Anolis sagrei: one gene and its partner. The protein of the gene in region 1 purifies or fractionates together with the protein of each later gene. This does not show direct contact. Links are inferred from orthologs where the notes say so. Each region holds a gene or a part of one and is shown on either strand. Other genes may lie near its edges.

Region 1 (16,105 bases):
TGTCCCCCATGCTGTTTAATATCTACATGAAGCCGCTGGGTGAGATCATCCGGAGTTTCGGGGTGCGGTGTCATCTGTACGCAGATGATGTCCAGCTCTGTCACTCCTTCCCACCTGCTACTAAGGAGGCTGTCGAAGTCCTGAACCGGTGCCTGGCCGCTGTAATGGTCTGGATGAGGGCGAACAAACTGAAATTAAATCCAGACAAGACAGAGGTACTCCTGGTCAGTCGCAAGGCCGAGCAGGGTATAGGGTTACAGCCTGTGCTGGATGGGGTCGCACTCCCCTTGAAGGCGCAGGTTCGCAGCTTGGGTGTAACCCTGGACTCATCATTGAGCCTGGACCCCCAGGTTTCAGCGGTGACCAGGGGAGCATTTGCACAGCTTCGGCTCGTGCGCCAGCTGCGCCCGTACCTTGGGAAGTCTGACTTGGCCACGGTGGTACATGCTCTGGTCACATCCCGTCTTGACTACTGCAACGCTCTCTACGTGGGGCTGCCCTTAAAGACGGCCCGGAAGCTGCAGCTAGTCCAGCGCGCGGCAGCCATGTTGTTAACAGGAGCAGGACGCAGGGAGCATACAACGCCCTTGCTGTTCCAGCTCCACTGGCTGCCGATTTGCTACCGGGCCCAATTTAAGGTGCTGGTGTTAACCTACAAAGCCCTAAACGGTTCCGGCCCAAAATACCTTGCGAACCGCATCTCGGCCTACGAGCCCACGAGGACCTTGAGATCATCTGGGGAGGCCCTTCTCTCGATCCCGCCTGCCTCACAGGCACGTCTGGCGGGGACGAGAGAGAGGGCCTTCTCGGTGGTGGCCCCCCGGCTGTGGAACTCCCTCCCGGCTGATGTCAAACAGGCCCCCTCCCTCATGGCCTTTCGTAAGGGCCTGAAGACTTGGCTCTTTGAGCAGGCTTTCAACTAAGTGCTATGCTACGGGCAATGACAACCGGATTGAACTACGACGACGAGACTGTCTATGATTCCATAAATATGACGGAGCGGATTTTTAGTATAAGTTGATGTAGGTATTAGAGATGTTAATTGTTGTTTGATTCTTTTGTAAAATGTCTTTTTTGTACTGTACGCCGCCGCGAGTCGCCCTAGGGCTGAGAGCGGCGGCTAACAAATGCAAGAAATAAATAAATAAATAAATTATCTGAGGCCCCTTCCATACAGCTGCATAAAATACACACTGAAGTGGATTATCTGGCTGTGTGGACTCGGATAATCCAGTTCAAAGCATATAATGTGGGATTTCATTCAGCTGTGTGGAAAGGGACTGGGTTATCTGAGGCCCCTTCCATACAGCTGCATAAAATACACACTGAAGTGGATTATCTGGCTGTGTGGACTCGGATAATCCAGTTCAAAGCATATAATGTGGGATTTCATTCAGCTGTGTGGAAAGGGACTGGGTTATCTGAGGCCCCTTCCATACAGCTGCATAAAATACACACTGAAGTGGATTATCTGGCTGTGTGGACTCAGATAATCCAGTTCAAAGCAGATAATGTGGGATTTCATTCAGCTGTGTGGAAAGGGACTGGGTTGTCTGAGGCCCCTTCCATACAGCTGCATAAAATACACACTGAAGTGGATTATCTGGCTGTGTGGACTCAGATAATCCAGTTCAAAGCAGACAATGTGGGATTTCATTCAGCTGTGTGGAAAGGGACTGGGTTGTCTGAGGCCCCTTCCATACAGCTGCATAAAATACACACTGAAGTGGATTATCTGGCTGTGTGGACTCAGATAATCCAGTTCAAAGCATATAATGTGGGATTTCATTCAGCTGTGTGGAAAGGGACTGGGTTGTCTGAGGCCCCTTCCATACAGCTGCATAAAATACACACTGAAGTGGATTATCTGGCTGTGTGGACTCGGATAATCCAGTTCAAAGCATATAATGTGGGATTTCATTCAGCTGTGTGGAAAGGGACTGGGTTATCTGAGGCCCCTTCCATACAGCTGCATAAAATACACACTGAAGTGGATTATCTGGCTGTGTGGACTCAGATAATCCAGTTCAAAGCAGACAATGTGGGATTTCATTCAGCTGTGTGGAAAGGGACTGGGTTGTCTGAGGCCCCTTCCATACAGCTGCATAAAATACACACTGAAGTGGATTATCTGGCTGTGTGGACTCAGATAATCCAGTTCAAAGCAGATAATGTGGGATTTCATTCAGCTGTGTGGAAGGGAACTCTTCAATCAAAGGGCATTCTGAAACCCCAACAGCCATGGAATTGGACTAAACTTGGCACAGAGAACACCCATGAACACAAAGAGAATACTGGGGGCTCTGGGGAAAACAGATCTTGGAGACTGGGAGCCTGTGTTTTCCTTCCTGCCACAGCTATCCCCTGGGAGGCGCCTGCAAACGCTGCTGCAAGAACTCAGGGGCCGTTTGCAGCACGGAGCTTCTCCGTTTGCAGCTTCTCCGTTGGCCTGGGGATGGCTCTCCTCCGCTCCTGGGCCGTCCTACAGGAGCGGCTGCAGCCCAGCACCTGCTCCACGGAGGATGATGCCAAGAAGGTGTGCGGCTGAAAGAAGGGCATCCACTCTCTGCATAGCAACCCAGCTGTCTTTTCCTCCTCTTTCCTTGCCCCTTTCTTTCTCTGCTCTTTCTCCCTGCACACCTTTCCCTCCTTCTCCCTTGCCCCAGACACGTTTATTTTCTTCTTCCTCGCCCTGTGTGCACTTTTTTCTCCCTCTCCCTTGCCATGTGCGTGCCCTTTTCTCCTCCCTCGACCCTCGTTCACCTTTCTTCTCCCTCACCCTGCGTGGACCCTTTTTCCCTTCTCCCTCGCCCCATGTCTGCCTTTCCACCCCCCTTGCCCCCCCGCCTGCCTTTTTTCCTTCTCCCTTACCCTCAGCGTGCCTTTCTCTCCTTCTCTCTCATCTTGTGCGTGCTTTTCCTTTTTTCTCCCTCACTCCGTGGGCACCTTTCTTTCCTTCTCCCTTTCCCTGCATACCCTTTATCTTCCTCTCTCCCTAGCTGGGTTGCTCTGCCGAGAGAGAGAGAGAGCGGAGGAAAGGCCTCCTCTCCCACTTTTCCAGGAGCCATTGGCAGGCAGGGAAGGACTTCCATCAGCCTCCGTCGAGCTGCTGCTGCTGGGTTGCAGCTGCTCCTCTAGGCCTGCAGCAGCAGCTCGACGGTGGAGGTGTTCAGAGGTAGGACGCCGCTGCCTCCGCCGCTCCAGGAAGGCATGCGATTATTGCTGGGCTGGGAAAGGGCTGCCACTATCCCTATCAGGAGTGCCATTGGCATGTGGGTCGACCGCCATTTTGGAGGGGGCGTGGCTAGCCAATGCGGCATGGCGACCCCCAGAAAATGGCCAAACGACCCCCCGGGGGGTCGCGACCCCCAGGTTGAGAACCGCTAGACTACAGGGACTTCATGTTTAACTTACTAGTTACATGATAAATCTTTGCACATTTTATTTTCCACAACTCTGCCTGAATGTTTTTATTTAAACAACGAATAAGGAGGACTGGGTTCCACTTTACCACATTGAGCCAGTGTTCAACATAGTTATTTGTTTAGTAGTGGTCCCCTTGAGGCTTACATACCAGATCCATGAAACAGCAAGATGAATGACAGAAGCTCAGGAACTTGAACTCCACAGAAGTTGCAGTGAAAGAATGGAAGGTCAGATCAAAAAGAAAGTTTTTTGGTTGAAGGTGGGCTGTTAGAAGAGCTTTGTGGGTATTTTGGCCCATTCTTATTTATTTATTATCATTGATTTGCTTCATTTATACCACACCTTTTTCACCCCGCAGCTTACAACTCCGGCAAAATGCAATGCAGCTTAAAACTCTAACAATAAAATATATCCCATTAACTAAAACAATTAAGCAGATAAAACACATAGAAAAATAAGCAGATTAAAACATATAAAGTGCATAATTCCATTTATCCACCATTCTTATTCAGACTGTATCAGAACCTGTATAACTTATTCTTCAAATGCTTGTGTAGTACAGAGTCAGATCTTTAGCTTTCCCCCTGCCCTGAAAACCAGAAGAGATGGGGCCTGCCTGATGTCACTGGGGAGGGATTCTACAACTGAGGGGCCACCACTGAGAAGGCCCTGTCTCTCGTCCCCACCAATTGCACTTGCAAGAGGGGTGGGACTGAGAGCAGGGCCTCCCCAGCTGATCTTAAAGCTCTTGTTGACTCATAAGAGGAGATGCCTTCGAACAGGTAAGTTGGACCAGAATTGTTTAGGGATTTATAGGCAAAAACCAGCACCTTGAATTGGGCTCGGTAGCAGAACGGTAGCCAGTGGAGCTGACACAACAGGAGGGATGTCCTCTCTCTGTATGCCATGCTCTGATGTTTGGTGCAAGCAATATTACTTGTAGACAGGGTTTTCAATATGACTTGCTTAGTAAACTGCTCAATACAATTATAACATTAATAATATCTTATTTATCTACTCAGTCTTTTTCCTGGAGCAGCTTGGAATTCTTCAACGTTTGCTGAATTAAATAAGAGCAATATAATACACAACAGTCGCCATTGTTTTACATATTCTTTGCAATTACCAGACCTACAAGAAACTTCAAATGTTAAAACTATGAAGTCTGAGTTGGGGTGCATCTACATTGAATATTTAATACAGTCTGACACTGCTTTAACTGCCATGGACCAATATTACGGAATCCTGGGTGTTGGTGAAGCACAAGCACTCTTTGGCCGAGAAGGCCTATAACCTTATAAAGCTGCAACTCCAATGGTCCCATAGCATTGAGCCATGGCAGTTAAAGTGGTGTCAAATTGCATTAAATATTCAATGTAGATGCATCCTAAGACAACAAAACACTGTCATATTATTTAAACTCTTGAATCCTTGTAATTTCTTTTCCTTCACTTTGTATTTTAATAGAAAACAATAACACAGATATTGCTTGGGTAAATAATCTCTGAAGCCTTCAGTAACTTGCACAGTAGAATACCCTTGTGACCTGGCACTTCCAAATGTTTACTTTTTAAAGTTCTAAATCTTGAGGCAGGACTAAGAGTCTTCTGTTTAACTTGTCAGTTTGGCTGAAGGAAGAGGAAGCATGGAAGTGGTGTGGGAAATGTTCTCCCTCAGCTAAAACAGTGAAGCACAGTAATGTTCACAGATAAAGGATTGTGGCAATGGATAACGACATTCATTCAAGCTTTCAAGGAAATAGGAGGGAATAGAAAAAAGAAGCAGATGTTCCAGTTTATCTTGGATAAGTCTGTCCTGACAGAGAGTTCGGATTCCTAACACCAGGAGCTTCAGTGTTAAAGCAAGCTTATAGCTGTGTGCTCAAGCCCATTCTTTACATTTCTTAATATAATTCTTCATGGCCTGTTTGAAATCTGTGCAGTTTCCCTTTCTAAAGGCTTGTGTCAGCAGATGAGATCTCCAAAGGAGCCTGTATAACCAGCTTGATTTTGATTACACCTTCTTCTGACAGCAGCGAGAAAGAATATGCAGCGAAGAATGGCTCGCTAGGTAAATTCCCACTTCAAAGGCCTTCAATTTCATGCCATTTAATATTGCTATGAGACAGGTCCATTGCTAAGATACTGGCAGGGGAGGAGAAACAAAAAAGACAGCATTCTGTGACGTGAACATATGTTTGAGAGAATAAATTTCAGTTGTCTTTATATATTTTCCTCAGATATATTTTTCTTAAATTAAACAGAGCACAAGAGAGGTCTCACAGAGCAAAACAATATTTTAACCAGCCAACTATTCTGGTTTTAGCTGCATTCCATTCTGGATTATCTGACAGATAGATATGACAGCACAAAGCACTAATAGCTAGTGTTCCAACCAATGACAGCTAGTTTCATCTTCAACCTCAGGTTTCTCCCTGAAAAGGAGAATAGAATAATGCTTAAAATCTACCTGCTGATCGCTTTTGGCATTACTGATTATTTAACCATTCATCCAGCAGCAAGATATCATGGTACATATCAAATGTGCTCAGGGTACATGTTTGTGCTGCCTAAAAACACTATTCTGACTTGTGAACTCATTGCAAATTAAAAGCCAGTGAACACAGCATTTCATATTTTGGGTCTTCCTGTGTCAGAATTAAGAGCCCAAATTTAACAGCAATAGTGAAGAAGTAAGATTAAAAACATTCCTTATGGAGAAAAATGGAAGTGGCTGAGAATTTAAAAACAAAACAGTAAAATCATAATAAAAGTAAGAATGCATAGCCACAATAAAATCAACATAACATCACTTTTCTTGAAGCAGCAGAAAGCAACAAAATCCCAGCGGAATTAAAAAAGTCTTCAGGAATATTGGGAAAGGAAGGATGAAAAGAAAGCCCATGATGAGCTACTCCACAGAGATGGCCCCCTATCATTGACTCTGTAACATGCAGAGATATCTATAACAACAATTGTGATTGCCCCTATCATTGACCCCAAGAAATTAAACATCCACTGTAAACAGCCAGAGACTAGGGGCCCTTCCACACAGCCCTATATCCCAGAATATAAGGCAGAAAATTCCGTAATATCTGCTTTGAACTGGGTTATCTGTGTCCACACTCTGATAATGCCTAAATATATGTATATGCATTTTTTATTAAAATTTATTTCACTAAACCCATCTGCAGGGCATCCTATCTGCAATTACCCTGAAATAAGCCCTGCTGCATGCCTCTAATAAGTGTGCAGAGAATTGCAGCCTCAGCATTGGTTATGGAGGGTTTATGACACCAAAACAAGCACAAGGGTTATAAGAAGCAGCCCTGGAATCCTAGACAAGGCCCTTTAGCAATCCAAAACAACCATGTGCAAACTTTTGTACTCCAGAGGTTGCAACTTCAATTCCTGACTATGCTAACTGGGCTACATCATTCTACACCAAACATGGGCAAACTCCAGCCCAGTGAGAGTTGAAGTCCCAAACACCTGGAGGGCCAAAGTTTTCTCATGCTTGTTCCACAATGTAGAATGAATGCAGTTTGGCACCACTTTAGCTGCCGTGGCTATGGAATCATGGGAGTGGTAGTTTGGGCACCATCGCCCTTTGGTGGACAGTGGACACTGTAGTGCTACAACTCCCAGGATTCCATAGCATTGAGCCATGGCAGTTAAGATGTTGACAAACTGCAATAATTCTTCAGTGCAGATGCATGCCCTACCTCACGCATGGGCAAACCTTGGCCTTCCAGGTGTTTTGGACTTCAACTCCCACAATTCCTAACATCGGGTTATAAGAAGCAGCCCAGGAATTCTAGTCAAGGTAAATCAAAAACAACAATCTGCAAACTTTGGTACTCCAGAGGCTGCAACTTCAATTCCTGACTATGCTAACTGGGGTGCATCATTCTACAACAGGCACTGGCAAACCTGAACCTTCCAGGTGATTTGGACTTCAACTTCCACCGTTTCTAACTACCTCAGGCCCTTTCCTTTTCCCCCTCAGCCGCTTAAGTCCAAAACACCTGGCCCAGGTTTGCCGCGGCTGAGGGGGGAAAGGAAGGGGCCTGAGGCTTTTAGGAATGGTGGGAGTTGAAGTCCAAGATATCTGGAGGAAGGCCATGTTTGCTGCAGCTGAGGGAGAAAAGAAGGGGCCTGATTAGGAATGGTGGGAGTTGAAGTTTAAAACACCTGGAAACCCTAGGCTTGCTATGGCTGAGGAGGAAAAGGAAGGGTCCTGAAGCTGTTAGGAATGGTGGGAGCTGAAGTCCAAAACATCTGGAAGGCCCAGCTTTGCTGAGGGGTAAAAGGAAGGGGCCTAAGGCTGTTAGGAATGGTGGGAGTTGAAGTCCAAAACACCTGGAAGGCCCAGGTTTGGCCATGCCTAGAGAGAATGAATGCATTTGGGACACCCCATTGAACCTCCATGTCTCACTGCCTCCCAGATCCTGGGGGGCAGTGAGGGCCTGCAAAAACTATAGTTCCCCTGATCCCATAGCACTGAGCTGAGTCAGGGAAAGTGGTGAAACACCCTCTGTGAATCCCACAGATACACTCAACGCCCGTTTTGTGTTGTGGGAGAGAAGAGGGGAAGGGCCATGCTGAGGGGAGAAACGACTGTGAGAAGGAAGGCGAGGGGAAGGAAGTGGGGCAGAGGGGGGAAGGCCTGGGACACACTCACCCCTCGGGAAGGAAGGAAGGTAGGAAGAAGAGGGCCTCCAAGGAGGAGGAGAAGGGGCAACAGCAGCCTCTCCTTGCGGGGCTGCCACCCGGCCTACTTCCGGCCTTTCTTTCTTTCCTCCTCCTCCTCCAGCCAGGTAAGAGGCCGAGGCAGCGCCTCTCGTTCCAGGAAGTCGCCCGCTTCGTCTATGCAAATCTCAGGCGGCGGGGCAGGAAGGAAGGAAGGCCTAGGCCGCGCCTGGGCAAACTTCGGCCCTCCTCCAGCAGTTTTGGACTGCAACTCCCATCATTCCTAACAGCCTAACTATATTCCTCACTATAGCATAGTTAAAGATGTCTCAGACTGGATTAATTCTACAGTAAAGACGCACCCTAACCTCTCTTCACCTTCAAGGCAGCTTTTACCTGAGTGCCTCTGGTTGCTTCTGCACCACCTGACATCCTCCGGGAAGGGGCAGCCCATAATGAAAGGACCATGGCAGTGACATCTCCAGCCCATCCCCTGTTCGGATATCAGCCAGCACGCCAACGCCTTAAATCAAGAAATAGTTTTCTATGATCTACAGAGATACCTGCAGGAAGCAAGCAAGAGTCCAAAATTGGCAGTGCAAAAATCTGGAACCTCAACCCATGGCTGATACCAAATGAGAGATTCCCTCCTGGGCACACCGAAGACTGGGCAACTTGGAACAGACTGTGCTCTGGCATCATGAGATGCAGAGCCAACCTTAAGAAATGGGGCCACAAAGTGGAGTCCACGACATGTAAGTGTGGAGAAGCGCAAACCACAGACCACCAACTACAATGCAGTTAATGCCCTACCACATGCACAATGGAGGGCCTTCTTATAGCAACACCAGAGACACTCCAAGTGACCAGCTACTGGTCAAAGGACATTTAATATAATGCCAAGTTTTTAAACTTTGTGCTTCTTAAATACATTGCAACTGTACCCTCGGTTCACTTCTGACACGATAAATGAACCTGAGTGCCTCCTCTCTCCTGCTCAGTCCACCAAAGGCTACATATACATATATTGGTAAGTAGTTGAATACAGTGATTGAAGATTGGAATCCTTCCCTTATATAAACGCACAATATGTACGTTCGTATTTATGAAGACATTATTCTTAACTGACATCACTGACATGCTATTCTCAACTTTTACAGAAGTAGGAAGCTTAACTGTCAGAAACCTGAGGCCTATTTCTCATGAAATAAAGAGCAAAGAGTGTTGTTATGTAATAATAATAATAATAATAATAATAATAACAACTTTTCCATTGAATAAAGGAAACTACAGGCAGTTCAAGGGCCCGCTGGTGGCGCAGCAGGTTAAACTGCTGAGCTGCTGAACTTGCTGACTGAAAGGTTGGCGGTTCGAATCTGGGGAGTGGGATGAGTTCCTGCTGCTAGCCCCAGCTTCTGCCAATCTAACAGTTCGAAAGCATGTAAATGTGAGTAAATCTATAGGTACCACTTTGGCGGGAAGGTAACGGCGCTCCATGCAGTCATGCCTGCTATATGACCTTGGAGGTGTTTATAGACAACGCCAGCTCTTTGGCTTAGAAATGGAGATGAACACCAACTCCCAGAGTCAGACATGACTAGACTTAATGTCAGGAGAAAACCTTTACCTTTACCTGTTGTTAAAGCCCTTTAAAGTGTTACTGTTGAAGGGGGAACTATGCATTCTCTCAGAGGTTCCCTTCACTTCTGCGCTCAAGGGGGTGGCACAGGGATGGACACACGGACAGACGAGTTGAGTCAAGTGAAGAAGGCTATTCTGCCTTGGTCAGACCACACCTGGAATACTGTGTCCAATTCTGGGCACCACAATTGAAGAGAGATATTGACAAGCTGGAATGTGTTCAGAGGAGGACAACTAAAACGAACAAAGGTCTTGAGAACAAGCCCTATGTGGAGCAGCTTAAAGAACTAGGCATTTTTAACATTCAGAAGAGAAGGCTGAGAAGAGACATGATGGTTATGTATAAATATGTGAGGAGAAGTCATAGGGAGGATGGAGCAAGCTTGTTTTCTGCTGCCCTGGAGACTAGGACACCAAACAATGGTTTCAAACTACAAGAAAGGGGATTCCATCTGAACATTAGGAAGAACTTCCTGACTATGAGAGCCGTTCAGCAGTGGAACTCTCTGCCCCAGAATGTGGTGGAGGCTCCTTCTTTGGAGGCTTTTAAGCAGAGGCTGAGTGGCCATCTGTCAGGGGTGCTTTGAATGCAATTTTCTTGCTTCTTGACAGAGGGTTGGACTGGATAGCCCAACTCCATGATTATATGATAAAATAGCAGGAGGCCCTCCTGTGAGAGAAAACAGGGAATGTGACTTCAAGGCAAGCAGAGAAAACCCCTTGTTAAGTACTGTGGTACCTGTTCCAACTTATATACAAATTCAACTTAAGAACAAACCTACAGAACCTGTCTTGTTTGTAACTTGGGTACTGCCACTATTTTAACTATATCCCTTCCTAAGAGGCAGAGTTGGGGTTTGGGTTCAGTGGGTTTAGAAATATTGAACTCCCTGCAAAAAAATACAAAAGATTAGCTCTTCAAGCTGAGTTCTGAGTTCTACAAGGACAGGATGCATACCTTCTGTTCTGCCAGTCCATAGGGGCCTCCATTAACAAGTCCAAGGATTCATGAAAGAAAAACAAGGCCAACAACTGGAAATGGTTTTCTTCTGTCGGCTGCCAAATTCCTAGAAACATGATCTGGAAAACGTCTGGGAGCGATCAGGGAACCAAGCAGACAGCTGTCAGCTCACTTGGAGACCTTTGCCTGGTGTAATATTCACTTTGGCTGTTAGAGAAAGTGCCAGAGAAAAAGGTGCCAGGTTTCCAAAAAAAGAGAGGAAAGCATGCATAGCTCTGAAATCCAACTTATTTTGTAAGATAAGAGACACAGTACCCCTGACTGCCTCTCCCACTGAAATAGTAATTTGTAGAAGAACAAGCATTTACCACCACTTCCCCGAACTACAAATCCCAGAAGTAACAACTCCGCAAACTATAAACCACAAAGCGAGAGTATGGTGCTGTAATGAAAGTAAAGGCTTAAGTTTATCCCTACTCACCACAGTCCTTAACTAAAGTGCTACCCACTTTGGAAGCAGTGTTATTTCATTTGCCTTGGGTTTTTTTCATTTGTATTTACAAGATTGCATTGCAGAAATAAGGTGTGTGTGAATCAATGGTGTTCTGATCATTAATAGCAATTCTCCCCTTGTAGGGTTGATGAATTTGAAACTCATGGATGACTTTGGGTTCTTCCAGACAGGCCCTATATCCCAGGATCTGATCCCAGGTTTTCTGCTTTAAACTGGATTAAAGCTGGATTAAATTATTTTTGTTGTTACTTTACAACTGTAATTTTGCTACTGTTATGAATCGTCATGTAAATATCAGATCTGCAGGATGTATTTTCATTCACTGGACCAAATTTGGCACAAATACCTGATACGCCCAAATTTGAATTCTGGTGGGGTTGGGGGGGGGGTATTGATTTTGTCATTTTGGAGTTGTAGTTGCTGGGATTTATAGGTCACTTACAATCAAAGAGCTTTCTGAACCCCACCAACAATAGAATTGGGCCAGACTTCCCACACAGAACCCCCATGACCAACAGAAAATACTTATTTTTCTGATGGTCTTTGACAACCTCTCTGACATAACCCCGGCGATCCCCCCCCCCCCCCATGCTGCTGTCAGGAGTTGTAGTTAGGTGGGGCGCCAGCACTCTGGCAAGAAAGAAAGAAAGAAAGAAAGAAATGCTAAAGACTGTGTAAACCTACAAGTGGTGCCAAACTACATTAATTTGATGTATTGTCAAAGACTTTCATGGCCGGAATCACTGGGTTGTTGTAGGTTTTTTTGGGCTATACGGCCATGTTCTAGAGGCATTTTTTCCTGACGTTTCGCCTGCATCTATGGCAAGCATTCTCAGAGGTAGTGAGATCTATTGGAACTAGGAAAGTGGGTTTATATATCTGTGGAAAGACCAGGGTGGGACAAAGAACTCTTGTCTGCTGGAGCTAGGTGTGAATGTGTCAACTGACCACCTTGATTAGCATTTGATGGCCTAGCAGTGCCTGGGGCAATCTTTTGTTGAGAGGTGATTAGATGTGCCTGATTGTTTCCCCTCTGTTGTTTTGCTGTTGTAATTTTTGAGTTTTTTTAATACTGGTAGCCATTTTGAGTTAGTTCTCACAGAGAAGCCTTTCGCACAGGACACAGAACGAAGTGGCTCCTGTAGAAAAGCTTCGTCTTTTACAGCTTGGCCGGGGTTATACAGCCCTACGGCTTGGCCAGGAGACATACAGCCACAGCTTGGCTGAGGGACTCCAGCCGGCCATCACAGCAACCTGAACTCCTTCTTTTTCCCTGGAGGTCTACAAAGCTCTGTTGAGGCAAGGGTCACTCACGGAAGCCAGATGCAGTTGGTACCGGGTGCAGGGGCTCCACGTCAACAGAGGCAAGTACAGACTGCCCAGATTAGAAGCTAGGATTTCCCCTTTAGTTAATTATAGTTAAGAAGATAGTGCCTGTTCCCTGCGGACAAGTTTGAGAGAACTGATACTTTAAAGCTCTACAATACCTGTTTGTTCCTTAATAAAAGAACTTTGTTGGACTTACTTTAAGCATTCTAAGGACTCTGTTTGGGGGAATCTAAGGGCCTTTATTCTGAGGCAGCCCCGGCGTCCCGTTGGGCACAGAGAATTTATGTCCTGTGTACAGTCTAATGCACAGGCCCAGCGTGCGACAGCACAGTCATTAGGATCCCGGGAACCTTGCTGGGGAAAGCATGAGCAGTAATCTAGTCCCTTAGCTGGCTTTATTTTAAAAATAACTAGATGGTTATTTCTAAAATAAATAACTACCTGGTTATTTATCGTGGCTGTTAACCCCAGCAAGAGAAGTGTCCTGTTAGAATGATAGAACCATAGAGTTGGAAGAGACCACATTAGTTCTCTAGTCCAACCCCCTGCCATGCAGGAAAAGCACAATCAAAGTATTCCCAACAGATGGCCATCCAGCCTCTGTTTAAAAGCCTCCAAAGAAGGATCTTCCACCTCTGTTCCTTGACTGTAGGGCTCTGCATCGGTGGCATATCCTTGTTCATAAGACCCTGACAGTGATGAATGTAGTAGAAAACGTGCTCCAGTGTAGCCAAGTCTGACAGCATGCTCTGATTTAAAATCCCAGTGGTACAATGAACCGTCTGGATTTTCACAAACTGCAGAGCTTCAGAGCAAGATCTTTCTTCTTTTGCACAAGTCTTACCCTCTAGATCCCAAATGGAATATAAAACGTGTACAAGGAAAACTAAAAACAAAGTATTAAGTGACTGAAATTTAAGATAAGGGTATCAAAGCAGAATAGAACACCAATGCCTCGGTGCCCCCACTGTCAGATAATATATTGTCGAAGGCTTTCATGGCCAAAATCACTGGGTTGTTGTGAGTTTTCTGGCTGTATGGCCATGTTCCAGAAGCATTCTCTCCTGATGTTTCACCTGCATCTGTGGTAGGCATCCTCAGAGGTTGTGAGGTCTGTTGGAAAAATGTCAGTATTTTTTACTCCGGGAAGCTTGCCAGGATTGAGAGTTTGCATTAAGCAGGGCACTGGACATCCTTCATCTTGGTTTGCCCACAAAATGTATAGGAACTACAAAAGAAAAGTGGAAATGGACTTCTGGAAACTGCAATTTTTATGCCTTCCCTTCTGTACGTTTTTTGTGGAGGTGCAGTCTGTGGTGAATTGCAAATGGGATAGAAAACTGGCTCTTGGGTGGCCCACATTTGGAGTAAAGAGAGGGTAAAGCAGAAAGAGATGGTTGTCAGCATGGAGAAAGAAAAGGGCAAAGTATATTATTTTTCAAACCACCCATTCCAGTACTTTGATGAAATATGGTTTCTTTGAAGCCATGATCAGAAGATTTTGATTTGAATTTTTTTGTGTATGAAGAAGGGAAGAAAAGGGAGCTCATGAGTCTTGAACGTCACAATGATTCATTTGCATGAACTAACCTGGAGCTTGGTGTTGCATCTGAATCAGGCGAGAGATGCTAATAAATCTGAAGCAATGCATTTGGAAATAACGTCCATTAATTACAGCAAGTCTCTAATGCCCAAGTAAATACTTTAAAGATCTGGATGGTAGACTAACAAGAGATATATGAGAGATCTAAAATATTTTCTACTACATGAGATTTTATTATAGTTTGCTCCTCCTCATAATATAATGTCACTTCTACTAATGAAGAAATTACAGCCCCTCTCCCTTAGAACTGTATGAGTTTCTAGAACCGTCAAATATTCATATTTTTAGGGTGTTATACCCAAGGCTTTGTTATATCCTGTTGAGAACCAAACAAAGGACTGGTGAACACAATGCCTGTACATTAATTTACACGTAGCTTCCAATTAACTCTCTCTTAATGATAAAAACCTCTCTTGCTATTTATTAAAGTTTTCCCCATAGCAATATATATCTCTTTAATTAAGATCAGCAACAAACTAATCTCTCTTTATTCCCTCTTGCTTTCAATTAGCAGCTCATTGATCATTACCCAGTAGACACACGGCGATTAACAGAACAAGAATAAACAATAGGACAGTTTCCTTGGAAATTATACTTCAGGAGCATGGAAATATGCAGCCAAGAGGCAGGGCCAGAATGGATCACCGAGAAAAAGCACCCATATAATTGAACTGCAGGCAACATTAAGAAAAGCTATAGGAGCGTCCATTGCAAGATGAGACATCACAGTTAAATAGTTGACTGATAGGGCAAGAATTATATATGGGGTGAATAGGAAAGGCTGAAATATTTTTAGTTCTTTTTTCGTGTCAGGAGCGACTTGAGAAACTGCAAGTCACTTCTGGTGTGAGAGTATTGGCCGTCTGCAAGGATGTTGCCCAGGGGATGCCTGGATGTATGATGTTTTACCATCCTATGGGAAGCTTCTCTTATGTCCCCGCATGGGGAGCTGGAGCTGACAGAGGGAGCTCAACTCGCTTTCCTTGCGTTCAATCTGCTGGATGGCCATCTGTTGGGGGTGCTTTGAATGCAATTTTCCTGCTTCTTGGCAGGGGGTTGGACTGGATGGCCCACAAGGTCTCTTCCAACTCTATGATTCTATGATTTTTTAGCTTTTGCAACACAGTTGACTCATGTTCCGCTTGTGGTCTACTAAGGCTTCTTTCGCTTGTACTATTGTGAAGCCAGGTATCACCCATCCTATGTCTGTGCATTTTTTTCTGTTTAAATTTAGAGCCTTACATTTCTTCTTGTTGAAATTCGTTTTGTTTTACCTAGCTCTTTAATCTGATAAGGTCCTTTTGGATTCTTATCCTGCCTTCTGTTGTGTTAGCTATCCCTCCTAATTTGGTGACATCTACAAATTTGATAAGCCTGCCCTCTGTGTTGAGGATTATTTCCTGGACAGCTTCCAGTTCTTTTGCAGGCTAATGAGAATCAACATGCCAGTGACAATCAGAGCTACTTCTCTTTTAATTCTCTTACAATGTTCAGGGAACAAAAGTGCACAAGGCCTTCTTAATAGAATGACATTAGGCGGGCAGTCTAGTGTAGAGTGTCAGCCTACTTTCCATACCAAAAAAATATAAATCTGCGACTTTCCTTTTTGGCAGTTGCATCAATGGCATGAAAGGTCTGTACATTAGTGAGTCTGCTGTCATAAGCCATTGGTACAATTTGAATCCATTATTTCCAATAAAAATCCCCGTTATAAGCATAGTCATTTAGACTGTTACAGCAAACATTCACTAGCACAGATATGGGCAAACTTCAGCCCTCCGGGTGTTTTGGAGTTCAGTTCCCACAACTCCTAATAGCTAGTTAACACACCTCCACAAAAGCTTGAGCTTGACAATCTGTGCAATCTAACTTGCACTTACTCCTCACTGCAATGTGTCTAAATCAGTGGTTCCCAACCTGCGGTCCGTGGACCACCAGTG
Region 2 (15,801 bases), on another chromosome or scaffold:
AAAACGTTTGGAAGGCCGAAGTTTGCCCATACCTGTCTTAAAAGGACAGTGTGCTGTTGTTGTTGTTGCTGTTGTCATCACCCCACTTTTGTCTCTTGATCAAGTCACAAAGGAAGTCTCAGTGCAAGAAAAAACGAAATGCAAAGAGACAGAATGGGGGACAATGCCTGACTTGAGAGCAGGACGTGTGAAAAAGATCTTGGGGTCCTCGTGGACAACAAGTTAAACATGAGCCAGGAATGTGATGTGGCGGCAAAAAAAGCCAATGGGATTTTGGTCTGCATCAAGAGGAGCATCGTGTCTAGATCTAAGGAAGTCCTGCTCCCCATGCTCTATTCCTCCTTGGTTAGACCACACCTGGAATATTGTGTCCAATTCTGGGCACCACAATTCAAGAGAGATATTGACTCTAAGCTGGAATACTGTGCCCAGAGGAGGGTGACTCAAATGATCAAGAGTCTGGAGAACAAGCCATATGAGGAGCGGCTTGAGGAGCTGGGCATGTTTAGCCTGAAGAAGAGAAGGCTGAGAGGAGACATGATGAGAGCCATGCATAAATATGTGAGAGGAAGCCTCAGGGAGGAGGAGGGAGCAAGCTTGTTTTCTGCTTCCTTGGAGACTAGGACGCAGAATAATGGCTTCAAACTACAAGAGAGGAGATTCCATCTGAACATTAGGAAGAACTTCCTGACTGTGAGAGCTGTTCAGCAGTGGAACTCTCTGCCCCAGAGGGAGTGTGGTGGAGGCTCCTTCTTTGGAAGCTTTTAAACAGAGGCTGGGTGGCCATCTGTCAGGGGTGATTTGAATGCAATATTCCTGCTTCTTGGCAGAATGGGGTTGGACTGGATGATGGCCCAGGAGGTCTCTTCCAACTCTAGGATTCTATCATTCTATGACTCTGAGAGCCGTTCAGCAGTGGAACTCTCTGCCCCGGAGGGAGTGTGGTGGAGGCTCCTTCTTTGGAAGCTTTGAAACAGAGGCTGGGTGGCCATCTGTCAGGGGTGATTTGAATGCAATATTCCTGCTTCTTGGCAGAATGGGGTTGGACTGGATGATGGCCCAGGAGGTCTCTTCCAACTCTAGGATTCTATCATTCTATGACTGTGAGAGCCGTTCAGCAGTGGAACTCTCTGCCCCGGAGGGAGTGTGGTGGAGGCTCCTTCTTTGGAAGCTTTGAAACAGAGGCTGGGTGGCCATCTGTCAGGGGTGATTTGAATGCAATATTCCTGCTTCTTGGCAGAATGGGGTTGGACTGGAGGATGGCCCAGGAGGTCTCTTCCAACTCTAGGATTCTATCATTCTATGACTCTGAGAGCCGTTCAGCAGTGGAACTCTCTGCCCTGGAGGGAGTGTGGTGGAGGCTCCTTCTTTGGAAGCTTTGAAACAGAGGCTGGATGGCCATCTGTCAGGGGTGCTTTGAATGCAACATTCCTGCTTCTTAGCAGAATGGGGTTGGACTGGATGATGGCCCAGGAGGTCTCCTCCAACTCTTGGATTCTATGATTCTATGACAGTGTGTTGTTGTTGTTGTTGTTGTTGTTATTGTCTCTTGATCAAGTCACAAAGAAAGTCTCAGTGCAAGAATTCTTGTGCTTAAGGTTGGGAACAACTTGGTGCCAGTTCACAACAACAACAACAACAAGAAATATAATCTGTGGTCCTTATTTGGCTTTTCTTAATGTTTGGCTGCTGTTGCATCAAAAGCCCAATATTGCATAAACTTGTTCGCGCGCTCTCTCTCTCTCTCTCTCTACACACACACACACACATGCACACATTCATAGCCTACAGAGACATCATGATGTGTCAGGAATTTCCCACCAAACCTCTTGCTTTCTTTGGTAAACTGGGTACTTTCTGTGGCACAAAAGCCCCAGAGAAAACACAGCCCCTGAGTCCCGTTCCCCACTTTAGTCTTTCTGCTCCAAAATAAGGAAATGTACCCTTGAACACACACGCACACGCACACAGCCAACAGGACTGAAGACTGATAGGTAGAGGTTGGAATCCGGGGAGAGCAAGGATGAGCTCCCTTTGTCAGTTCCAGCTTCCCATGCAGGGACATGAGAGAAGCCTCCCACAAGGATGGTAAAACATCAAAACATCCAGGCAACATCCCCTGGGCAACGTCTTTGCAGATGGCCAATTCTCTCGCACCAGAAGCAACTTGGAGTTTCTCAAGTTGCTCCTGATGCCAATATGTATATGTATATATATATTATTATTGTATTGTCGAAGGCTTACATGGCTGGAATCACTGGGTTGTTGTAGGTTTTTCCGGGCTATATGGCCATGTTCTAGAGGCATTTTCTCCTGACGTTTCGCCTGTATCTATGGTAAGCATCCTCAGAGGTTGTGAGGTCTGTTGGAACTAGGAAAAAGGGTTTATGTATCTCTGGAATGACGAGGGTGGGACAAAGGACTTTTGGCTGCTGGAGCTAGGTGTGAATGTTTCAACTGAGCACCTTGATTAGCATTTGATGGCCTGGCAGTGTCTGGAGAAATCTTTTGTTGAGAGGTGATTACCTCTCAACAAAAGATTAATTACCTCTCAACAAAAGATTGCTCCAGGCACTGCCAGGCCATCAAATGCTAATCAAGGTGCTCAGTTGAAACATTCACACTTAGCTCCAACAGAGAAGAGTCCTTTGTCCCACCCTGGTAATTCCACAGATATATAAATCCTTTTTCCTAGTCCCAACAGACCTCACTACCTCTGAGTATGCTTGCCATAGATGCAGGCAAAACGTCAGGAGAGAATGCCTCTAGAACATGGCCATATAGCCCGAAAAAACCTATATTATTATTATTATTATTATTATTATTATTATTATTATTAATTGAACAGATAAAGTTTAGACAATGTCAAGCAGCAATCAGACTGTACAGCAGGCATGGGCCAACTTGAGCCCTTCCTCCAGGTGTTTTGGACTCAAAATCCCACAATTCCTCACAGCCTGGGGCCCCTTCCTTCCCCCCTCAGCTGCTTAAGCAGAAAAGGAATCATAAAAGGGAAAGGAAAGGGCCTGAGGCTGTGAGGAATGGTGGGAGTTGGAGTCCAAAATACCTGGAGAGAAGGCCGAAGTTTGCCCGTGCCTGAACTAGAGTAGAATCACACAACCCCAAGGTGGCAACCGAGCCTTTGGTATGAGTCGCCCATAAACTGAGAAAGGTGGTATACAAATGTAGTAAATAAATAGATAAATAAATAAATATTTTCCTAGCAGAATTCAACTGGGAGATATTGACAAGCTGGAATGTGTCCAGAGGAGGGCGACTAAAATGATCAAGGGTCTGGAGAACAAGCCCTATGAGGAGCGGCTTAAGGAGCTGGGCATGTTTAGACTGAAGAAGAGAAGGCTGAGAGGAGATATGATAGCCATGGATCAATATGTGAGAAGAAGCCACAGGGAGGAGGGAGCAGATCAAGGGTCTGGAGAACAAGCCCTATGAGGAGCGGCTTAAGGAGCTGGGCATGTTTAACCTGAAGAAGAGAAGGCTGAGAGGAGATATGATTAGAGCCATGTATAAATATGTGAGAGGAAGCCACAGGGAGAAGAAGGGAGCAGGCTTGTTTTCTGCTTCCTAGGAGACTAGGACGCGGAACAATGGCTTCAAACTACAAGAGAGGAGATTCCATCTGAACATTAGGAAGAACTTCCTGACTGTGAGAGCCGTTCAGCAGTGGAACTCTCTGCCCCAGAGGGAGTGTGGTGGAGGCTCCTTTTTTGAAAGCTTTTAAGCAGAGGCTGGATGGCCATCTATCAGGAGTGATTTGAATGCAATATTCCTGCTTCTTGGCAGAATGGGGTTGGACTGGATGGCCCATGAGGTCTCTTCCAACTCTTTGATTCTAGGATTCTATGATTCTATGGGGAGCGGAAGCCAATGATGGGGCAGGGGATAGAATCCTAGAATCCTAGAATCAAAGAGTTGGAAGAGACCTCCTGGGCCATCCAGTCCAACCCCATTCTGCCAAGGAGTAGGAACATTGCATTCAGAACACCCCCAACAGATGGCCATCCAGCCTCTGCTTCAAAGCTTCCAAAGAAGGAGCCTCCACCCACTCCGGGGAAGGCAGAGAGTTCCACTGCTGAACGGCTCTCACAGTCTGGAAGCTCTTCCTCATGTTCAGATGGAATCTCCTCTGTTGGAGTTTGAAGCCATTGCTCCAATGCGTCCTAGTCTCCAAGGAAGCAGAAAACAAGCTTGCTCCCTCATACCATGGGGTTGGTGCAGCCAGATCTTTGGGGGGTTGGAGTTGCTTGTCCTTTCTACGCCATTCATTCCCACCCCCTCCTCGGCAGGTCTTGAGAAGCGGTTTCTACGAAACTGCAAGTGACTGCAGGGTCAGTTCCTCTTTCTTATCTAAAAATGAGTTCAAACACATTTTGGGGGGGGGGGGGGGGAGTGAGGATGACATTATATGAACGTTGCGACTGGGCTGTGTGTGTGATTTCCAACATCGGGATAATATGAAGAGGAGAGGGTCAGGATACTAGAGTGACCCTCTGGGGTCTGACCCTTGAAGACTGGATGGCTCTCTATTGCAGCGTTTCTCAACCTGGGGGTCGAGACCCCTGGCGGGGTCGCGAGGGGTTGTCAGAGGGGTCGCCAAAGACCATCAGGAAACACAGTATTTTCTGTTGGTCATGGGAGCTCTGTGTGGAAATATTGGCCCAATTCTATCGCTGGTGGGTCTCAGAATGCTCTGATTTTAGGTGAACTCAAAAATCCCAGCAACTACAACTCCCAAATGTCAAGGTCTATTTCCCCCAAAATCCACCAGTGTTCACATTTGGGCATATTGAGTATTTGTGCCAAGTTTGGTCCAGATTGATCATTGTTTGAGTCCACAGTGCTCTCTGGATGTAGGTGAACTACAACTCCCAAACTCAAGGTCAATGCCCACCAAACCCTTCCAGTATTTTTTGTTGGCCATGAGAGTTCTGTGTGCCAAGTTTGGTTCAATTTCACTGTTGGTGGAGTTCGGAATGCTCTTTGATTGTAGGTGAACTATAAATCCCAGCAACTACGACTCCCAAATGACAAAATCAATCCGCCTGCCCAATCCCACCAGTATTCAAATTTGGACATATTGGGTTTTTGTGCAAAATTTGGGTCCAATGAATGAAAGTACATCATGCATATGAGATATTTATGTGATGATTCATAACAGTAGCAAAATTCCAGTTATGAAGTAGCAACAAAAATAATGTTATGGTTGTGGGTCACCACAACATGAGGAACTGTATTAAGGGGTCGCGGCATTAAGAAGGTTGAGGACCACTGCTCTATTGGGAGGGCTTGGATGGTGCTTTTCCTGGCAGGTTGGGGCTGGGCTGGATGGCCTTTGGGGTTTTTTCCTCCAAGTCTAGGGTGCTAGGACCATGGACAGGGATTGACCCAGAAGAGGCAGGGAAGGAGCGTCTCTCTCTACTTTCTGCGGAAGGGAAACTGGACGGGAAGGCAAGAAAAGTCAGCAGGAAACCCCAGGGAGACAAGGCTGCATAAGCAAGGAAGGAAGCAAGGAAGGAAGACCCCTCCTTGGGTTTTCCGGAGGACTTTTCCTGCCGTGGAGTTCCCTGTGGGTCTTTACAAAACATTGCAACAGACATGCATGAGCCATGAGCCAACAATGTGATGTGGCGGCAAAAAAAGCCAATGGGATTTGGGCCTGCATCAATTGGAGCATAGAGTCTAGATCTAAGGAAGTCATGCTGCCCATGCTCTATTCCGCCTTGGTTAGACCACTTTACCTGGAATATTGTGTCCAATTCTGGGCACCACAATTCAAGAGAGAGATTGACAAGCTGGAATGTGTCCAGAGGAAGAGGGCGACTACCATGATCAAGAGTCTGGAGAACAAGCCCTATGAGGAGCGGCTTAGGGAACTGGGCATGTTTAGCCTGAAGAAGAGAAGGCTGAGAGGAGACATGATGAGGGCCATGGATCAAGATGTGAGAGTTGACAAGCTGGAATGTGTCCAGAGGAGGGTGATTAAAATGATCAAGGGTCTGTAGAACAAGCCCTATGAGGAGCGGCTTAAGGAGCTGGGCATGTTTAGCCTGAAGAAGAGAAGGCTGAGAGGAGATATGATAGCCATGTATAAATATGTGAGAGTTGACAATCTGGAATGAGTCCAGAGGAGGGTGATTAAAATGATCAAGGGTCTGTAGAACAAGCCCTATGAGGAGCGGCTTAAGGAGCTGGGCTTAAGGAGAAGAGAAGGCTGAGAGGAGATATGATAGCCATGTATAAATATGTGAGAGTTGACAAGCTGGAATGCGGAAGGGAAACTGAACTGAATGTTTCCACCTGAACATGAGGAAGAACTTCCTGACTGTGAGAGCCGTTCAGCAGTGGAACTCTCTGCCCCGGAGGGAGTGTGGTGGAGGCTCCTTCTTTGGAAGCTTTTAAGCAGAGGCTGGATGGCCATCTGTCAGGGGTGATTTGAATGCAATATTCCTGCTTCTTGGCAGAATGGGGTTGGACTGGATGGTGGCCCAGGAGGTCTCTTCCAACTCTTTGATTCTAGGATTCTATGCGCATAAGTATTTGTTGCAAACAGTGTGCTGTTTTCCAGCTATTTGTGTTCCATGATCATTTCTCCGATAATATCTTTTCTTTAAGGAGTCACAGTCTTCTATTTGAATCGTACATACTCATAAAGGCATCCTAGGCTCTAAAGCAGTGGCTCTCACCCTTCCTAATGCCGCGACCCCTTAATACAGTTCCTCATGTTGTGTTGACCCACAACCAGAAGATTGTTTTCGTTGCAACTTCATCACTGTCATTTTGCCACTCTTAAGAATCGTCATGTCAATATCTGACATGCAAGAGGTATTATCATGCACTGGACCAAATTTGGCACAAATATCTTATACGCCTACATTTGAATGCTGGTGGCGTTGGGGGATAGTTGATTTTGTCACTTGGGAGTTGTAGTTGCTGGGATTTATAGTTCACCTGTAAACAAAGAGCATTCTGAACTCCACCAACGATGGAATTGGACCAAACTTGGCACACAAAACTCCTGACACCAACAGAAAGTACTAGAAGGGTTTGGTGGGCATTGGCCTTGAGTTTGGGAGTTGTAGTTCACCTATATCCAGAGAGCACTGTGGACTCAAACAATGCTGGATCTGGACCAAACTTGGCACAGAGTTTGCTTGGAGTTGTAGTTCACCTACATCCAGAGAGCACTGACAGATCTGGACCAAATTTGGCATGGATAATCAATATGCCCAAATGTGAACACTGGTGGAGTTTGGGGGAAATAGACCTTGACATTTAGGAGTTGTAGTTGCTGGGATTTATAGTTCACCTGCAATCAAAGAGCATTCTGAATTCCACTAACAATGGAATTGGACCAAACTTGGCACACAAATCTCCTGAGACCAACAGAAAGTACTGGAAGAGTTTGGTGGGCATTGACCTTGAGTTTGGGAGTTGCAGTTCACCTACATCCAGAGAGCTCTGTGGACTCAAACAATGATAGATCTGGACCAAACTTGGCATGGATAATCAATATACCCTAATGTGAACACTGGTGGAGTTTGGTGAAAATAAACCTTGACATTTGGGAGTTGTCATTGCTGGGATGTATAGTTCACATACAATCAAAAAGCATTCTGAACTCTACTGTCAAAGGCTTTCATAGCCGGAATTATTGGGTTGTGGTAGGTTTTTTCGGGCTGTCTGGCCATGTTCTAGAAGCATTCTCTCCTGGTGTTTCGCCTGCATCTGTGGCAGGCATCCTAGGAGGTTTTGAGACCTCCCAACCTCTGAGGATGCTTGCCCTAGATGCAGGCGAAACGTCAGGAGAGAATGCTTCTAGAACATGGCCAGACAGCCCGTAAATTTCTACAAAAACCCAATTATGGGGATCTTCCTGGTCCTGTTTGGCCGGGAATGCTCTGGAAGGGAAACCCCGGAGGCGATGGGGAGGGCCAGTGGGGGGGGGGGCGCTCTGCCCATGCTCAGAGGCAGGGGGGGATTCCCCGGCGGGGCGGCATTGGGCGGAGGGGAGGGGGCGGGGCGGGGCAGGGGGCGTGGCGCCTCTTCTGTCTCCTCCTCCTCCTCCTCTTTCTTCTTCCCGGGGGGCTCTTAAGGGCAGCGCTCCGGCCCTCCTCTTGCAGAAGGAAGAGGGTGGGCATGGGGTCTGGCTGGAGGTCAGCGGGGCTCCGGCCAGGGCGCTTCTTCTCCTCGTGGGCGCTGACCTGGGCCCTCCTCGCCACCCACCTCGGACGCGCCGTGAGTTTCGCTTTCGCTTCGGACACCAAGAAAAGGGGGGGGGGGCACAGGTCGGGGCTTTCCTTTCTTTCTTTCTTTCTTTCTTTCTTTCTTTCTTTCTTTCTCGCTTTTATTTCCCTCCCTCCCTTCTTTCCCTTCTTTTCTCTACTCCTCCCTTTCTGAGTCCCGGGGAGGAGGAGAGGGTCCCTCTCTGCCCGAAATGGGGGCTTCTGGGGGGAAAGGGGGTGGAACTGCGCTTTCTTTCCTTCCCTTCCTTCTTAGAATCATAGAATCCTAGAATCAAAGAGTTGGGAGAGACCTCCTGGGCCATCCAGTCCAGCCCCATTCTGCCAAGAAGCAGGAATGTTGCATTCAAATCACCCCTGACAGATGGCCATCCAGCCTCTGCTTCAAAGCTTCCAAAGAAGGAGCCTCCACCACACTCCGGAGCAGAGAGTTCCACTGCTGAACGGCGCTCACAGTCAGGAAGTTCTTCCAAATGTTCAGGTGGAATCTCCTCTCTTGGAGTTTGAAGCCATTCTTCCATTGCGTCCTAGTCTCCAGGGAAGCAGGAAACAAGCCTGCTCCCTCCTCCTCCCTGTGGCTTCCTCTCACATATTTATACATGGCCCTCATCATATCCCCTCTCAGCCTTCTCTTCTTCAGGCTAAACATGCCCAGCTCCTTAAGCCGCTCCTCATAGGGCTTGTTCTCCAGACCCTTGATCATTTTAGCCGCCCTCCTCTGGACACATTCCAGCTTAGAGTCAATATCTCTCTTGAATTGTGGTGCCCAGAATTGGACACAATATTCCAGATGTGGTCTAACCAAAGCAGAATAGAGCATGGGGAGCATAGAATCATAGAATCATAGAATCAAAGAGTTGGAAGAGACCTCATGGGCCATCCAGTCCAACCCCATTCTGCCAAGAAGCAGGAATATTGCATTCAAATCACCCCTGACAAATGGCCATCCAGCCTCTGTTTAAAAGCTTCCAAAGAAGGAGCCTCCACCACATTCCGGGGCAGAGAGTTCCACTGCTGAACGGCTCTCACAGTCAGGAAGTTCTTCCCTGGATCTAGACACTAGGCTCCTCTTGATGCAGGCCAAAATCCCACTGGCTTTCTTTCTTCCTTTCCTTCCTTTCCTTGATCTTCTTTCTTTCTTTCTTTCCTTCCGTCCTTCCTTTCCTTTCCTTTCCATTCTTTCCTTTTTCCCCTTCTCTCATTCCTTCCTTTCTTTTTTCCTTTCTTTCCTCTCTCCTTCCTCCCTTCTTTTCTTTCCTTCCTTCCTTTCTTTTTCCTTTCTTCCCTCTCTCCTTCTTCCCTTCCTTTCCTCTCTCCTTCCTCCCTTCTTTTCTTTCCTTCCTCCCTCCCTTCCTTTCTTTTCTCCTTTCTTTCCTCTCTCCTTCCTTCCTTGCTTCTCTCCTTCCTTTCCTTCCTCTTCTTTCCTTCCTTCCTTCCTTCCTTCCTTTCCTTTCCTTTCCTTTCCTTTCCTTTCCTTTCCTTTCCTTTCCTTTCCATTCTTTCCTTTTCCCCCTTCTCTCATTCCTTCCTTCCTTTTTCCTTTTTTCCCTCTCTCCTTCCTCCCTTCTTTTCTTTCCTCCCTCCCTCCCTTCCTTTTTCCTTTCTTTCTTCTCTCCTTCTTCCCATCCGTTCTTCTCTCCTTCCTTCCTTCCCTTTCTCCTTCCTCCCTTTCCTTTCTTACTTCTCTCTGTCCTTCCTTTCTTTTTTCCTTTCTTTCCTCTCTCTTTCCTCCCTTCTTTTCTTTCCTTCCTTCCTTCCTTTCTTTTTCCTTTCTTCCCTCTCTCCTTCTTCCCTTCCTTTCCTCTCTCCTTCCTCCCTTCTTTTCTTTCCTTCCTCCCTTCCTTCCTTTCTTTTCTCCTTTCTTTCCTCTCTCCTTCCTTCCTTGCTTCCCTCCTTCCTTTCCTTCCTCTTCTTTCCTTCCTTCCTTTCCTTTCCTTTCCTTTCCATTCTTTCCTTTTCCCCCTTCTCTCATTCCTTCCTTCCTTTTTCCTTTCTCCCCTCTCTCCTTCCTCCCTTCTTTTCTTTCTTCCCTCCCTCCATTCCTTTTTCCTTTCTTTCTTCTCTCCTTCTTCCCATCCGTTCTTCTCTCCTCCCTTCCTTCCCTTTCTCCTTCCTCCCTTCCCTTTCTTACTTCTCTCCGTCCGTCCTTTCTTTTTTCCTTTCTTTCCTCTCTCCTTCCTTCCTTCCTCTACTCCCACCTGTCTTTTTTCCCATCCTCCCCTTCCATTCCTTTCTTCTTTCATTTCATCCCTTCCCTTTTCCTTTCCTCCTTTCCTTTCCAGGTCGTTTGGTGGGGGGGGGGGCTTCCTCGCGTCCCCACCCTCGGCCCCTCCCCCACCCAGGGACCCCTCCCTTGGGGATCCCCCACCCCCCATTGACTATGAACTAGTTCAGAAGTATGGTGTGTTCTCCAAGATCCTTTCACCACCGTCCCAAACATAGTTGGTGGGGAGGAGAGGGGGGTGGCTTCTCAGTGGTGGCCCCTGGGTTTGGAATGCCTTCCCCAGGGAGATTTATTCATTTTATGTACTGTATGTGTATACTGCCCTTCTCAGCCCTCAGGAGATGAGGCTGGCACCCACTCTGTCCGCCTTTCGCAGAGACCTCAAAACTCAAATGTTCCAGTGTTCCTTTGATCATGATTAGATTCCCAGGTGGCACAGCGAGTTAAACCGCTGAGCTGCTGAACTTGCTAATTGGAAGGTTGCCAGTTTGATTCCAGGGAGTGGGGTGAGCACCCACTATTAGCCCCAGCTTCTGTCAACTTAGCAGTTTGAAAACATGCAAATGTGAGTTGATCAATAGGGACCAGGAAATCAGAAGATGTTTCCTTCTTGGGAGGAGAGCGTTGGCCAACCTCAATGAAAGAGTGAAGAGTAGAGACATCACACTGGCAACGAAGGTCCATGGTATTCCCTGTAGTCACCTACGGAGGTGAGAGCTGGAACATAGGGAAGGCTGAGTGAAGGAAGAGAGATGCTTCTGAACTGTGGTGCTGGAGAAAAGTTCTGAGAGTGCCTTGGACCACCAGAAGATCCAACCAGTCCATCCTCCATTGGAGGGAAGGAGATGAGAGGCCAAGAGGAAGTCCTTTGCCCACATCATGAGAAGACAGGAAAGCTTAGAGAAGACAATGATGTTGGGGAGAATGGAAGGAAAAAGGAAGAGGGGCTGACCAAGGGCTAGGTGGATGGATGGCATCCTTAAAGGGACTGGCTTGACCTTGAAGGAGACCCTGGGGGTGGTGACGGTCAACAGGGAGCTCTGGCCTGGGATGGTCCAGGAGGTCACGAAGAATCATAGAATCAAAGAGTTGGAAGAGACCTCATGGGCCATCCAGTCCAACCCCTTTTTGCCAAGAAGCAGGAATATTGCATTCAAATCACCCCTGACAGATGGCCATCCAACCTCTATTTAAAAGCGTCCAAAGAAGGAGCCTCCACCACACACTCTGGGGCAGAGAGTTCCACTGCTGAACGGCTCTCAATGAAGAGTTCAACGCAACTGAACAAATAAACAACAATAGGTACTGCTTTGGTGGGAAGGTAATGGCACTCCTTGTAGTCATGCAGGCCACATGACCTTGGAGATGTCTATGGACAACGCTGGCTCTTTGGCTTAGAAATAGAGAAGGACACCAGAGTCGCAGAGTCAGACACGACTGGACTTAATCTCAAGGGGAAACCTTGACCTTGACCTTAGGCCCTGTCTATGAACACCCATTGGATGGTCCAGGAGGTCACAAAGAGTTCAACGCACCTGAACGAATAAACAACAGCAATAGGTACTGCTTTGGTGGGAAGGTAATGGCACTCCTTGTAGTCATGCAGGCCATATGACTTTGGAAGTGTCTATGGACAATGCCGGCTCTTTGGCTTAGAAATGGAGATGAGCACCACACCCCAGAGTCAGACATGACTGGACTTAATCTCAAGGGGAAACCTTGACCTTTGGCCCCGGCCGTGAACACCCATGGGATGGTCCAGGAGGTCACGAAGAGTTCAGCGCAAGTGAATAAACAACAACAATAGGTACTGCTTTGGTGGGAAGGTAATGGCACTCCTTATAGTCATGCAGGCCACATGACCTTGGAGGTGTCTGTGGACAACGCTGACTCTTTGGCTTAGAAATAGAGAAGGACAGCAGAGTCCCAGAGTTGGACATGACTGGACTTAGTCTCAAGGGGAAACCTTGACCTTAGGCCCCTGTCCATGAATGCCCAGCCCTAACTGACCGTTAGAGTGGACTCAGCATTTTCCTGCAGCCCTGGCCTTATCATGGGCTCTTTGCACAAGCTCCTGCCCACTCCTCTCTAATTTCTGACCTTGCCCATAGTTAGTGAGATTTGTTTTGATTCCTTTTGGGCTTGTTTTTAAATTGATTCATCAGATTGTCATGTGTTTGCTACGTTTTTAAATGTGTTATTAGCAATTAGCTCCCTTGGGTTGGGCATGTTCCTGCATGTAAGCCGGTCCAAGTCCCTTCGGGGAGAGAGATGGGGTGGGGCATAAAAACAATGTTATGATTATTGTTATTATTATCACATCCTGAGAGGGTTGGGGGGCTTTCCTATGCAAAGAAGAGGTGGGGAGTTTCCTGCAGGAAGGAAGGGAAGGAGGAAGACACCGCCCCCAGACCCACTTTTGGGTGAAAGAGGCTCCTCCCCCCCCCCCCCAAATTTGGTGAAAGGGAAACACAAAAAGGCAATACAGAGGAAACACAGGGAGATGGGGCAAGAAAGCCCTGCCTTGGAAAGAGGCCATTCAAAATGGGCCAAGGCCTCTTGGTGGGCCACAAGCTGGACATGAGCCAGGAGTGAGAGGCTGCAGCTCACAAGGCCAATGATATTCTCAGATGCATCCAGAGGAGGATTACGCCCAAGCAGAGCCAAATAGTAGTGCTGCTCTCTTCTTCTGCTGTGTCCACACCTTCCCTCCTGGAATAATCCTCAAATCCCTGTGTTCCGGTTCTGGGCAAAAGCCATTCAAGAAGGAGGTGGACGAGAAGGAATCATAGAAGAAAGGGCCACAAAAAGGGCCAAAGGTCTGGAAACCACAAGTCCCATCCATCCAGAGGAGGATTGCATCCGAATAGTAGTGCTACTCTCTTCTTCTGCTGTGTTCAGAGCTTCTCTCCTTGAAGAATCCCATCCCTCTGTCCAGTTCTGGGCAAAAGCCATCAAGAAGTTGGACAAGAGGAAAGGAAGGAAGGAAGGAAGGGGCCCAGAGAAGAGCCACAAAAAGGGCCAAGGTCTGGAAACCACAAATCCCACTAAGCTGTTTTGAGAATCTGGAGGAGAGAAGGGATCAAGGAGTTGGCCATCAATGTCCTGCCCTACATCCATCCATCCGACATCCGGGACATCCGTAGGGAGACCAAGGTGCTTAGAATCATAGAATCGAAGAGTTGGAAGAGACCTCCTGGGCCCTCATCCAGTCCAACCCCCTGCCAAGAAGCAGGAATATTGCATTCAAATCACCCCTGACAGATGGCCATCCAGCCTCTGTTCAAAAGCCTCCAAAGAAAGAGCCTCCCCCACACTCCCTCCGGGGCAGAGAGTTCCACTGCTGAACGGCTCTCACAGTCAGGAAGTTCTTCCTCATGTTCAGATGGAATCTCCTCTCTTGTAGTTTGAAGACATTGTTCCCTTGCATCCTAGTCTCCAAGGAAGCAGAAAACAAGCTTGCTCCCTCCTCCTCCCTGTGGCTTCCTCCCACATATTTATACATGGCTATCATATCCCCTCTCAGCCTTCTCTTCTTCAGGCTAAACATGCCCAGCTCCTTAAGCCGCTCCTCATAGGGCTTGTTCTTCAGACCCTTGATCTGCTCCCTCCTCCCTGTGGCTTCCTCTCACATATTTATACATGGCTATCATATCTCCTCTCAGCCTTCTCTTCTTCAGGCTAAACATGCCCAGTTCCCTAAGCCGCTCCTCATAGGGCTTGTTCTCCAGACCCTTGATCATTTTAGTCGCCCTCCTCTGGACACATTCCAGCTTGTCAATATCTCTCTTGAATTGTGGCGCCCAGAATTGGACACAATATTCCAGATGTGGTCTCACCAAAGCAGAATAGAGGGGTAGCATGACTTCCCTAGATCTAGACACTATGCTCCTCTTGATGCAGGCCAAAATCCCATTGGCTTTTTTTGCCGCCACATCACATTCCTGGCTCATGTTCCCCTTCCTCCCCACGAAGACTCCAAGATCTTTTTCACACGTACTGCTCTCGAGCCAGGCCTCATCGTCCCCCATTCTGTCTCTTTGCATTTCGTTTTTCTGCCAAAGTGGAGTATCTTGCATTTGTCCCCGTTCAACTTCATTTTGTTAGTTTTGGCCATTCATCTCTCTGGAATAATCATCATATCCCTGTGTTCCAGTTGTGGGCAAAAGCCATTCAAGAAGGAGGTGGACAAGAGGGAATCATAGAAGGAAGGGAGAGGTCCAGAGAAGGGCCACAAAAAGAGCCAAAGGTCTGCAAACCACAAATCCCACTAAAGAGATGTTTTAAGAATGTGGAGAAGAGAAGGGATCAAGGTGTTGGCCATCAGTGTCCTGCCCTACATCCATCCATCTGACGTTTGGGACATCCATAGGGAGACTAAGGGGCTTGTTTATAAAGCTATTGTCCTCCCAACCCTGCTATACACCTGCGAGACGTGGACTGTCTACAGATGTCAACATTGAGACTGAAATACAACACCGCCTGAACTCTGCAAGTGCAGCATTCTTCTGAATGAAGCAGAGAGTGTTTGAGGACATCCGTAGGGATACCAAGGTGCTTGTTTATAAAGCAATTGACCTCCCAACCCTGCTGTATGCCTGCGAGATGTGGACTGTCTACAGATGTCACATGCAACTCCTGGAACGATCCATCAGTGCTGCCTCCGGAAAATCCTGCAGATCTCTTGGGAAGACAGGCGGGGAAATGTCAGCGTGGGGAAGAAGCAAAGACCACCAACATTGAAGTGATGTTCCTACGCCATTAACTCCGCTGGACTGGCCACGTTATCTGGATGCCTGACCACCGTCTCCCAAAACTGGTTCTCTATTCTGAACTCAAGAATGGAAAACAGAATGTTGGAGGACAGGAAAAGAGATTGAACGATGGGCTTAAAAACTCTGGCATAGACACTGAGAACTGGGAAGCCCTGGCCCTTGAGCGCTCCAGCTGGAGGTCAGCTGTGACCAGCAGTGCTGTAGAATGTGAAGAGGCCCGAATGGAGGGTGAAAGTGAGAAACGTGCCAAGAAGAAGGTAAATCAAGCAAACCCCAACTGGGACCGCCTTCCACCTGGAAACCGATGCCCTCACTGTGGGAGAACATGTGGGTCAGCAGTCACCAAAGTACCCACTGCCAGTTCACCGACCTAGGGGGACAATCTTACTTGGACAACGAGGGATTGCCTAAGTAAGCCCTACATTTCTCCCTGTGGTGGTGTAAAGACGTATCAATGCCACCAATAAAAAGTAAAGTCGTGCGTTAATCCCACCAAATGGGACCACCAAAAATGTAAGAAAGTTCCTAGACTGCTATTAAA

Evidence for each region.
Region 2: the proteins of TRAF3IP2 (region 1) and CD40 purify together in Homo sapiens (affinity purification with western blotting, with the first as the bait; 3 studies listed by BioGRID). This does not show direct contact. The link is inferred for Anolis sagrei from reciprocal best matches to the Homo sapiens genes TRAF3IP2 and CD40.

Annotation. Positions count from the first base shown.
Region 1 is NC_090021.1:92,794,542-92,810,646, reverse strand, and holds the start of TRAF3IP2 (E3 ubiquitin ligase TRAF3IP2), read right to left. Parts: upstream 8,505-16,105; 5' UTR 8,480-8,504; intron 8,404-8,479; exon of another isoform or gene 8,110-8,403; intron 1-8,109. UniProt on the Homo sapiens protein: E3 ubiquitin ligase that catalyzes 'Lys-63'-linked polyubiquitination of target protein, enhancing protein-protein interaction and cell signaling. Transfers ubiquitin from E2 ubiquitin-conjugating enzyme UBE2V1-UBE2N to substrate protein.
Region 2 is NC_090024.1:248,015,356-248,031,156, reverse strand, and holds the start of CD40 (tumor necrosis factor receptor superfamily member 5), read left to right. Parts: upstream 1-8,097; 5' UTR 8,098-8,157; coding exon 8,158-8,256; intron 8,257-15,801.